Rattus norvegicus: one gene and its partner. The protein of the gene in region 2 interacts with the protein of the main gene of each other region in a biochemical or structural test. Links are inferred from orthologs where the notes say so. Each region holds a gene or a part of one and is shown on either strand. Other genes may lie near its edges.

Region 1 (6,196 bases), on a different chromosome or scaffold from region 2:
CTCCTTTTCCTCAGGCTTTTCCCCATTTTTGTCCCTGTAGATTTTTCAGACAGGAACAATTATGAGTCAAGAGTTTTTGACTGGGATGCCAACCCCATCCCACTTGATGTCCTGTCTTTCTGCTGGAGGTGACTGTACAAGTTCTCTCTCCCCACTGTAGGGCATTTATTTCATCTCAGGTCCCTTCCTTTAAATCCTGAGAGTCTCTTACCTCCTAGATCTCTGGCATATTCTGGAGGGTCCTCCCACTGAGGAAGAGTAGAATATGCGTGTGTCAGGGCACAGATGTGGAGGTAAAAGAAAAACTTAGAAAATCCACCTCTCCTGCTGCTGTATGGGTCCTGGGGATCAAGCTTAGGTCATCAGACTTGGTGGCAAATGCCTTTACCCTCTGAGCCATCTTGCCTTACCCTAATGGCATCATTGTCTCAAGAATTGTAGTACTCCCTCCTGCTCTTGTACGTGCACACTCTCATTGGCCATTCCTTCCTTCTGCAGTTGTGTCCAATTTCATGTCCGAGTTGTCTCCAGTCAGAGCAGAGCTGCTTGGATTCCTCACTCATGCACTCTTGGGAGACAGTTTGGCTGCTGAATACCTTATATTGCATCTCATCTCCACCGTGTAAGTCTGTGCTCTTCCTGGGAACTGGGGTGTGGGAGAAAGAAGGGAACAGCCGTGATGTTTGTTTGTGTCTTTTAGTAAATCAGCTTTGTCTTCAAGTGGGTTTTTACAAATGCTGCACCAAACACAGACTCCTTTCCCCACTTTACTTCGTTTCACATAACGCATTTGTTTCCGTCTCCAGATGGGATGTGACTGATGAGTAAGACGAACTGTTGGTTTCTCTGCACTCGTTTTATTTTTTATTTTGTATATACTTCAAATGTTGTATCTCCTGGTCTCCTCCCTATACCCTGTTTGCTTGTTTATGTGTGTATACTTCTCCAGGCTCTGCTTATAAAACAATGAAGTCTGTCTTTGTGTACATTTAGTTTGTGTATTGACTTTAATGCTTCCACCCTGTTTTGGTTCAATTTTTTATTTTGTTTTTGTTTGTTTGTTTTTGTTTTGAGACATGTTTTTTGTTTGTTTTGTTTTTGGCTTGTTTGTTTGTTTGTTTGTTTAGCCTTGCTCGTCTTTAGCTCTGTAGACTAGACTAACGTCGAACTCACAGGTCTCTTCCAGCCTCTGCCTCAAGTGCTGGAATTAGAAGTGCACACCACACACCCAGCTAGGGCCTGGCCTTTCACTCCACCATATTGGGTTTTTGGGTTGGTTTGGGATTTGTTTTTGTTTTTGTTTTGTTTTTTGTTTTTTTGTTTTTTGTTTTGTTTTTTTTTGTTGTTGTTGTTGTTGTTGAGACAGGGTGTCTTGGAGCTGTCTTGGAACTCACTCTGTAGACCAGGCTTCCCTTGAACTCAGAGATCCGTCCACCTGCCTCTGCCTCCTGAGTGCTGAGATTAAAGCACCACTACCTGGCAGGTTTTTTGGTTTTTTTTCCCCCCCAAAAAGAAAAGCAAGAAGAAAATTATCTTTCACGTGGGCAACAGTTTTCCCATCTAATACTCGAGCATATTCTTTGGTTTATGTTGTAATGTGGGCCCATCAGTTGTGGTTGAAGCACACACATCCTTACCTGCTTTTTAGATTTAATATTTAGTTAGCCTATCACAATACTTTTTTTTTTTTTCTCTCTTTGAGATAGGTTTTGTTATGTAGTCCTGGCCTAGAATGTTCTATGTAGACCAGGCTGGCCTGGAACTACATCAAGATCCTTCAGCTTCTGTCTCCTGGGTGCTAGGATTAAGGGCATGCCACCATAGTCAGCCTTCTTCCTAAGCTTTCTAATGACCTGATGTTCTCTCATTATAGATTTGTGCCATACTGTAACCATTTCCCAAAACATTAGGATTTTGTACTTTTTTTAATAAATGCTGTGATAGAAAGCATCTTATCTCCTGTCCCCTGGTGGCAGCTAAGATGGCGGGTAATGCTCAGGGTCACATCAGAGCTCTGTCTTGGCTTGACTAGACATCCCTCATGGAAAAGCACGGAACTCAGGAAGTCTGCCGTGCCTGCGTCATAGGCACACTGTTGAAGTGAGATGGTGAGGCAGTGACCACCAGCTCATGTCAGCCAGGCCTAGCCAGTAAATCTGCAAATGTTGTAAAGCACTTCAGGTCTCAGCATTTTGGATAAGGGATGCTCTCCCCATTCCTCAAAGTGGCTATTATTTAACTGCCGTTCTGATAGATAAAAAATGTCTATTTTTACCTTATATGTATGGCTATTTTGTCTGCATATCTGTGCATGCAGTGCCTGTAGAAGTCAGAAGACGGCATCTTCCTAGAACTGGAGTTACAGGCGGTTGTGAGCTATTCCGTGGGCCTGGGACTTGAACCCTGGTCCTCTGGAAGAGCAGCCAGTGCTCTAACTACTAAGCCATCTCTCTGCTTCTGCAAACTTTATAATGATGGCGTCTCAGTATCTTACCCTTGGTTTTGTGTTCTTTCCCTTCTCCTAGGTATACAAGAAGAGATGTACTTCCACTGGGAAAATTTACAGTTAACCTGAGTGGTTGCCCACAGAACAGCACCTTCACGGAACACCTATATCGGATCATCCAACATCTTGTTCCAGCAGTAAGATAATATTATGAAGGCTTATGAGTGGGACAAACCCAATTGTTTTCCACTCACCTTGAGTATTAACTTTATGTTCCTAGTGGGTCTCATTTACAAAGGACAAGACCTGCCAATTGACATAATTTAAAATGCACCCAGCATTCACTGATTGACCCAGCACAAATCTGTAATCTAAAAATTAACGCAGTGGCAGTGACTCCCTTAGAATTACGTTTCCAGTCTGTGTGAGTTTGTTCCTTTGTGTGCATATTATGAAGTGTAAAGAAGCTTTAAATCATAGGAGCCTGGTTCTCTCAGCTGAGGTAATAAAGTGGCCCATCTCCACGCCCCAGGGCTTGTTGCTATCTGGAAGCATCTGGAATGCACATTTGTGTCAGGATCTCAAGGACCGGATTTACTCTGATAACTAAAAATTTTGGCCACTTTGGGACTTAAGAAGTGAAGCCAGGTCCTTCTGAACAGCCTGTCGAGTCTGCACTTCAAGCCCTGCAGAAGCAGCAGAGTCCTGAGGATTTTGAGCCTCTTATTCAGTGGGCTGTGCTTTCACTAATGTCTGACATTAGTAATTAAGACTGAAGACATGTTGAGTAATTCATTAGGAAATAGTGGTAAAACTGACAGTGTCTTGCATTTTGCCGTGCTCTTGAGTGTCTAAATTAATAGACTATTTTGGTTAAAAAAAAAAAAAAAGAGGGGGAATTATTTTATCCCACGCTAGCCGGACCGTAGGACCACATGGCACCTGCAGGATATTCTCATCTCAGTCAGCAAGGGGTCTCGCCCGCTAAGCTCCATCCCATCTCACACTGCCGAGGCTACTCTGAGCCTGGCAGCAGTCTCTCTACCATCTAGTTCCCAAGGCGAGTCTCTGCCATGCCAGTTTCATGCAGAGACCGCCTGTCTCGCAGCTCTCTTCCTGTGGACTCTGCTCACATTCCCAGCATCCACCCCCTGGTCCCAGCAGCAGCTATCCTCTGGTAACGCTCGGCCACTGCTCTGTTTACGTTCCCAACATCTGCCCCCTAATAGTTATGATATAAACTCCCAACCACCCCTTAAAATCAAGACTCAACAAACTGCAACCCAACATCAGATTTATATCTCAGTCCATAATACAATAAACTCACAACCAATTGATAAGGATATAAACTGCCCAACTAGATAAGATAAATTTGCCTACAGAAACCCATCCCAACTCCCTTAGCAATTCAGGACCACCGGGATCTGGGTCATCCTCTGTCTCCATCTTGATTCTCCCTCCTTCTCCTTCTGTCCTGCCTTACAAAAGCTTTGTCCCCACCTTATATTTTACTGTCCAATCGTGGCCTTGACCTAACTGGTGCTGTCCCTCACCTGCATGTAGACATCAACCTACAGGAGACCCCTAGGTTTTCTGTTCTGCTTCCACATTTGCCCCTGCGGTGCTGTTTTTATCTGGTCTGTTTCTTAGCTGAGGTGCATGATCTGAAAGCCTGTCTGTCAGTGGAGTTTGCACATCTCTGTGGTAAAGCCTGTTCTGTCTGTAAACGTGACTCATTCATAGACCCGGAAATAGGATCTTAGCGGTTCCCTAGGCCATGTCTCCTGAGATTGCTTCTCTGTCCTCAGAACTTCCTGGTTTTGAGGTATAAAATCAAATTGCTGGTGTGTGCTTTAAATATTCTCAGCAGAACAGTGAAGCCCTGGAAATGGGATAGCAGACACTGGCATAAGACATATGCCCATCTCTCCAATAGGGTCTGAGACTCAGTCTGGAGCAGAACTGGTGACTGCCTGGGGGGTCATGTCCTCCTACATAGAAAACAGGCAATCTAAGGAGCAGCATGGGCCTGTGTAAGGGATGCCAGCAGAGGCTGGTGCAGTACCACTCTCAGACACAAGATGGCGCCAGAGACCATCTATGTCTCAGCTGTGCAGCCAGGATTACATCTTTACCTGGGGGAGGGAGGGTGGAGGAAAGGGCTTAGAGGGTCTCTTTTCCTTATTTTGCATTTCATTGACTGTCTGCCCTTTCGTCACTCTTAGCACACTGGCCCCAGCCCTTCTCAGTGCTTTTCTCTCTGGAATGGAACATTCAGCTTCTACTGCTTATTACATGTGTCCTGCTTGTGGTTCTGTGGCAAAGCCAACCTCAGCCCCAACACATGGTCACTTTTTAAAATTTGTATATGAGTGTCTGGCTTGCATGTATGTCTGTGCAACGTACATGTCTAGTGCCTGTGACATTGGGTCCCCTGGAACTGGATTTATGGATTGTTGTGAGCCACCATATAAGTGCTGGGAATAGAACCCATGTCCCTACACAAGAACAAGTGTTCTCAACCAATGGGCTGCCAGCCACCTTTTTTGACAAGCTCTGCTTCTGGGATTTCATTCGTATCTGTAAAGAACCACTGCCCTCCTTTCTCAGAATAATTGAGCCAAAGTACAAAATTCTCTAAATTCTAGTTCTCTCTCTTCCCTCTTCTCTTGCTGCATGCTTTCCTGAAGGCTGGAACATGCTTGAGTTCCATGTGTCTAGAGCAGACAGAAGGAGCTGAGTGTGGTGGGGGCTGGAGGCAGGGTGTGGAGGGTCCCTACGTTGGGCTGAAGTGTTGGTAATGAGTCGAGCCATGGTCTGTTTTAATGTACAGAGCCTGTGTTCTTGCCTCAGCAACTAGACGTCACTCACAGTCTTCACATTTTACTAGCTCCTGTCCCTTAATGAAGTTTAACTTCTGGCTGTCTGATGTTTGGCTATCACAGCTGTCTACCATTTTGTATCCCTGGCTGCCCTTACCTCTCCAGCGTGCACTGTGTCAGCTGAAATGTGGGACATAAGCAGCTAGAAGAGGTGTGGCTCGGAGTGTGGCCACAGATAGTTCCTAAGAGTTGCAGAGACCATCTGTCTCCGTTTTAGAAATGATATCATTCCATGTGAAACAAAGGCGTTCTCTCTCTAAACACACGCCTGTGGGTGTGGGTTTTTTAATAGAGAAACTTGCTTATTACAGCTTCTGTCTCAGTCTTTCCGTCTACAGATGACAATAGAAAACATGAACCAGTTGAAACTCATTCCCCACAAAGACTATACAGCCAACCGACTGGTCAGCGGCCTCCTTCAGCTGCCCAACAACACTTCCCTGGTCATTGATGAGACTCTTCTGGAGCAAGGGCAATTGGACACGCCAGGTATGTGCATGGATACTTGCTGTCCTCTTCTGGTTTTGCTCCATTTAACCAGATCTGGCGATGACTTCTAAGGCAAACAACATTTAACAAGTATTTTTTAAATACGCATGTGACTAAAGCATGTAGCACACATTGGACACCAGTTGTTTTGTTCTGACATTCTGCTGGCTGCCCATTAGCTCAAGAAAGGACAGAAGAGATTTAATGTAAAGAGATTTAATGTTTTGTACATCCTGTGGTAACTTTCTTAACAGTTTACATAGTTTCTGGGGGAAAAGTCGATCATAAGGTTTAAACTAACTACAGTTGTGGAACTTGTTAAAAAAATAACAAGAGCGTGTTAGATCACTCCACATACAGAGTGCGGGTTACACTGTAG
Region 2 (5,105 bases):
CTTGTGAGACAATAGAGGTCTGGGAACAGGGTGAGGGCAACCTCGGATTCCTTTCTGGCCTTACTCTAGTTCACTCTGCCGTCTGCAGGAGGTGTGGACCTCGGCTATCAGCAGAGGCAGCAGAGAAGCTGAAGAACCGCTACATCATCATGCGGAGTGGGGCTCGTCAGCATGAGAGGGATATTGACCGTCGTTCCAGCATCCCCATCACAGTGCGGTGAGCTATGCAAGTGGGCTCACGTCAGAGGGCAGGGCTATTTGGTCACTGCTATTCTCATAACATGGGTGTGGTGTGGTCATCTGGGCTTCTGGGACCATGTACTGTGGCTTCCTAATTATCTCTCTGTGTGTGTGTGTGTGTGTGTGTGTGTGTGTGTGTGTGTGTGTGTGTGTGTGTGTGTGTGTTGTATGTATTTGAGGCTAGGGATGCCTGGGTAGGCCTCACTTCTGTATTTTGCCTGGCTTCCTTCTTTGAGAGGCAGCCTGAGGAAAGGGGAGGACTCTGTCCTAGCCTCTGATCAGCTGTGTAACTACAGGGAAACTAGAGACCTTTACTGGGTCTCAATTCTTTATGCCTCCTCCACTAGGGTTGTCATTTATTTATAGACAATATAGCTAGTAAGAGCTGGGGCCATCCTGGGCTGAATTATACCTCTAGCATTGATTGGTTACAAGTAGATCTGGTTGTGTATGATGAAACCCAAAGAGAGTAGTTTAAGTGGGAAGTTTATTTTCATGATTAAACTTTAGGAAGTAGGTAGTAATTCATGGTGGTTTTTCAGAGCTGTCAGCCTGGGCTCCATTACATTCACCTTTGCCAACCTTTCAGCCCTGGATGGTTTTAGAAGTGTCAGCTGTCATTTCCACAGTTTGAGCCCCAGGAGAGACCGTGGGAGGAAGACATGCTTTTTTACGGACACTTCTGACATTTTCAGATGATGCGTGGATTTAGAATGTATGGGCTACATCTTGGTCACACTGACACCTAGACCAAAAAGTCAGGAAATATCCTTTAGCAGGCAGTAGAATTAATGGTGTCCCGTGTCTACTCCACCGCAGGGCCCAGGTCTCTTGTGAAGGCAGGATGTGGGGACTTCGCTCACACGGCAGCTGGGCAGGTGTTGGGCTGTTGGAAGCCTGGGGACACCTCTCTGGGGTTGGGGAAGTGCAGTCTGAGTGCAGGACACAGCTGGAGCTGGCTGGGGGGGTCCAGGCTGGCAGTTCTCAGGCTCTTAGGCATCTAGGCACCCCTGGGATGCTGCGGAAGAGCTGAAAGGGGAAGAATGAGAACGGAGTGGGGCTGGGTCTAGTCTGGGGCCGAGGGGGAAAAGAGGGGGGGAAGCTCCTGCTGGGGAGAGTTTTTGGCTGGTTGTCGGTGGTGGGTTTGAGCTTGGTGGTAGCCATCACTGGGAGTAGGCAAAGGACTTCTATGGCTCCCTGTTGGATTCCATGAAAAGAGGCAGTCCATGGTTTCAAGGCATTTATTGTCATGGTAGAAAGTGGGTGAGTAAAACCATCCCCACTTCTCAGAGTGGGCCTGAGATTAAATACCTTTTGCAGGGAGGAGTGTCTGGGAAGGAAAGTTCATTGACTAAGCCTCCAGGCCTTTAGGCACCTCATTATAACAGATCTATCTTGAGCCTACGTGACCTTCACGTCCTCTACCTGTGGGGCGTTGCCCTTACGTGGCTGATGGTCACAAATCTATGGAGGGCTGTGGGCTAGTGACCGGCCTGGTTTCCTGGAAGTCAGGCAAAGCACCTACATCTCTTTTAGGGTCTCCGGGGTTCAAACTTCCTTAACTGGGAACCAGGGTGTCTTTCACTGCCCCACAGCAGGCAGTGTGTGCTGGAATAAAAATTGGGCTCGGTAGAAGGAGTAAAGGGTGATATATTATTGGGAGAGGCAGCAAACTCCTCTGCAGTCCTGACTACCATGGCCATGGCTCTTCCTGGAGGGTCAGAGGAGGGAGTGTGGGCTGAGCCCTCCGTGTGCTGTGTTCCCACAGGCAGCTGGAGGCGATCGTGCGCATCGCCGAGGCCCTCAGCAAGATGAAACTGCAGCCCTTTGCTACGGAGGCCGACGTCGAGGAGGCGCTGAGGCTCTTCCAGGTGTCCACGCTGGACGCCGCTTTGTCTGGCAATCTGTCGGGTGAGTAGGTGCTGGACGTGGGGCTGGACTCTGGGATGGAGAGAGATCTAGTTAGCTGGTGGCCTGCAGGCTGCTGCCTGGATGTGCTTTTGATGATAGCCTTTCCCCTGCTTCTCTCCTGGATGTTTTAACTGTTGGAGGAGGAAGGAGCTTCTCTGTAGACCTCAAATCAGTCCATTATAAGTAATGTAGGCCTGTCACTGGTAGAGGGGCTGTCAGCCCGCCCTCCTGTTGAGCTTAGAACTATTGTAGTTTCCCAATTTTGGCCTCTTTTTTTTTTTTTTTTTTTTTTTTTTTTGGTGACAGTCTGGGACCCCAGGCTGTCAGTCCTTCCTGTCATGGAGTTGAGACTGACAGAACTTCTGTGGTGTCGTGGTCACCAGTCCTGGTGGAATACAGGCCTGTGGGCCCCTGAGCCTTACTGTCTGCTGCCTGCTTTCAGCCAGTCCTGAGGGCGGTGACATGGCAGCCTCTTTAGACACCTCCACCCTCATCTGACAGGAACTCTGGCTCAGCACTTGCCAGTCGCGGTCTAGATGTCAGAGCTATAAGCACGTGGTTCCCAAGGTTCCTGTCCTACCCGTTCTGTAGGCCTCCTGACCTTCTGGTGGGATAGGTGAAGAGGTATAGGTAGTGAATGGAAGGAATGGAGAGGGCTGTGACAGCTGGGCAGTGTGTTGGAGAAGGAGTGGTTCTCTTTCTTATTTGGTAAGGTTGTACAGCTCCCGCTTACCCAGGGCTTCTGGTGGATGGCATCTCTCAGATTTGTATTCTAGAGGGCCCTGTTTGCCCTCCCTCCTAGCTCTCTTGAACTCAGAACTTTGTTTCCAGTGGGCATGGTTGTAGCAGAGGCAGAAGAATCTCTTGAGTTTGAGGTGTGAGGTCAACCAGGGCTGTACAATGACACCGTTCCTCAAACTCAGCCAAATAAAAACTGCTTCCTTCAGGTTTTTTTCTGTTGCTGTTTCTGTTGTCTTGGTATGTGTAGCCCATAGGGTCTCATGGCACTTGACTCTTAGTTACCATGGTTACCCCATCTCTGTGCCTGTTGCATGGCCTCTGTTACCTTTCCCTCTGCCTAGAGCTCTCTTCCCCATATTACTTGATTTTCACTTTTCTGGTGAGGCCTCCACTCTCACACTGTGTTCTGTCTTTAATTTTCTCTGGGGCTGGGTTCAGGCCACTCTAGTTAGAGGCTGTCATCTTTCTGGCCCTTCCAACATGGATGAACTGGGCTTTCTAGCACCCAGTTTCCCTATTGCACTCTCACAGGGGTGGAAGGCTTCACGACCCAGGAGGACCAGGAGATGCTGAGTCGCATTGAGAAGCAACTCAAGCGCCGTTTTGCTATCGGCTCCCAGGTGTCTGAACACAGCATTGTCCAGGATTTCACCAAACAGGTGAGCCTCCCTAACCCTGGGTCCACAGCCCTGGCCCGGGGTATAGAGGGGTCCTGCTGGTTCTCTTCGTCTGCTTCCCACTCAGCCACCACATGCAGTGTTCTGTGCTCAGCAGAGGGGTGCTGGGATGGGATGTTTGAGCCACCATTCCTTTTGTAGGAACTGCTACAGTCTACAGTTGAGGTTGGCTATAGGGAAAGGAGGAAGCTAGGTTTGCAGGAACCAATGCCTGTTTCCCATCTCTTAAGATTTTCCCTTATTTGGATCGTTATAGGGTAGGGATGCCCAAAACCAGATGAGTGAGCCTTGTAGCCCACTGGGGAGGGGGCTGCTGATCCCATGCAGAGGAGAGACTGTTTGGTGTGTCAGGAGGCGCCTGTGCCCTTTAAAATCATGAGGATAACTCTGGTTTCTGTTTTGTGTTTCCTTTCCCGTGTTCCTCTCAGTTTCCTTGTGGAAGTAAATTATGTAGTAATGAGTATTGGCCCTCTATAAGAGACTAGTATTAACAGGCTGGGGCTGGAGAAAGTGTGTTTTTTTTAAGGGCCACAGGGACTTAAGTCCTAGCTCATTTAATTGCTGTATGACCCAAACAAGTGACAGAACGAGTGACAGTCTGTGCCTGCTCTCTTCCTCTGTAAAGTGAGATTGTGCATGAGTCGAGAATGGAGGTGAATGTTTTTGTCTGCTGTGAAGTTGTCTATGATCCCGGGCTGCATCAGCTCCCTTGGGTCATAGCGATACACACGTGCGATACACACGTGCGTCTGACTTGTGCTCCCTCCTACAGAAGTATCCAGAGCATGCCATCCGGAAGGTGCTGCAGCTCATGCTGCGCAGGGGGGAGATCCAGCACCGCATGCAGCGCAAGGTGCTTTACCGCCTCAAGTGAGCCCCGCCCATCAACTGCCCATCAACCTCGGGCCTGGGAAGCTGCCCCACCCACCTCTAGTCAGTGTCCTCGCTACCACAAGCCTCCTTCTGCCCTCCCCCCTGCCTCAGACTGCTGTATGCCGCACAGCTGCAGCCCCTGGAAATGTGCTCTGGTTGTTGGCCTCATGTACTGTGTTTGGGTGTCTGAGGGCTCTGTCTGGTCTGGGTGCCTAGTCCCTGTCTGCCTCCACGACAGGATGAGTCTGGAGCAGGAACAGGCTCTGGAGGTAGAAAGGTCTGTATGTTGGCTCCTGGGCCACTGACTGTCAAGCTTCTTCGTGTGTACAGAGGAAATAAAGTGCGTGAGTCCCTGGCTGCTAAGGACAGCGGAGCCAATACCACAGTAGTGCTGTGCGAAGTCTAAGGTTGACTCACTCAGCTCCCCAGCAGCACCTATATGAGAACTGGATCATTAATTTCGCTATCTGTGCCTCAGTTTCCTAATCTGCAAACAAATTTGATGAATATGAGCTCAGTGAGTGATTGGCTGTCAAGTGAAAACCCAAGCAGGCCACAATGGAGAAAGTCTCCATGGCTTTCTTTACAGCAAGTGAGCCTCAGTGCTGTGTATCACTGGGGGAGGGACCAGACCTCAGGGTTATCAGTGAAGGAGCTGTAGGC

The links.
Region 1: the proteins of Mcm5 (region 2) and Mcmbp form a complex in vitro, tested with the Homo sapiens proteins (2 studies listed by BioGRID). The link is inferred for Rattus norvegicus from reciprocal best matches to the Homo sapiens genes MCM5 and MCMBP.

Annotation. Positions count from the first base shown.
Region 1 is NC_086019.1:192,707,907-192,714,102, reverse strand, and holds part of Mcmbp (mini-chromosome maintenance complex-binding protein), read left to right. Parts: intron 1-498; coding exon 499-622; intron 623-2,525; coding exon 2,526-2,643; intron 2,644-5,651; coding exon 5,652-5,817; intron 5,818-6,196. UniProt on the Homo sapiens protein: Associated component of the MCM complex that acts as a regulator of DNA replication.
Region 2 is NC_086037.1:13,504,862-13,509,966, forward strand, and holds part of Mcm5 (DNA replication licensing factor MCM5), read left to right. Parts: intron 1-88; coding exon 89-217; intron 218-2,008; coding exon 2,009-2,151; intron 2,152-3,423; coding exon 3,424-3,551; intron 3,552-4,341; coding exon 4,342-4,443; 3' UTR 4,444-5,105. UniProt on the Homo sapiens protein: Acts as a component of the MCM2-7 complex (MCM complex) which is the replicative helicase essential for 'once per cell cycle' DNA replication initiation and elongation in eukaryotic cells.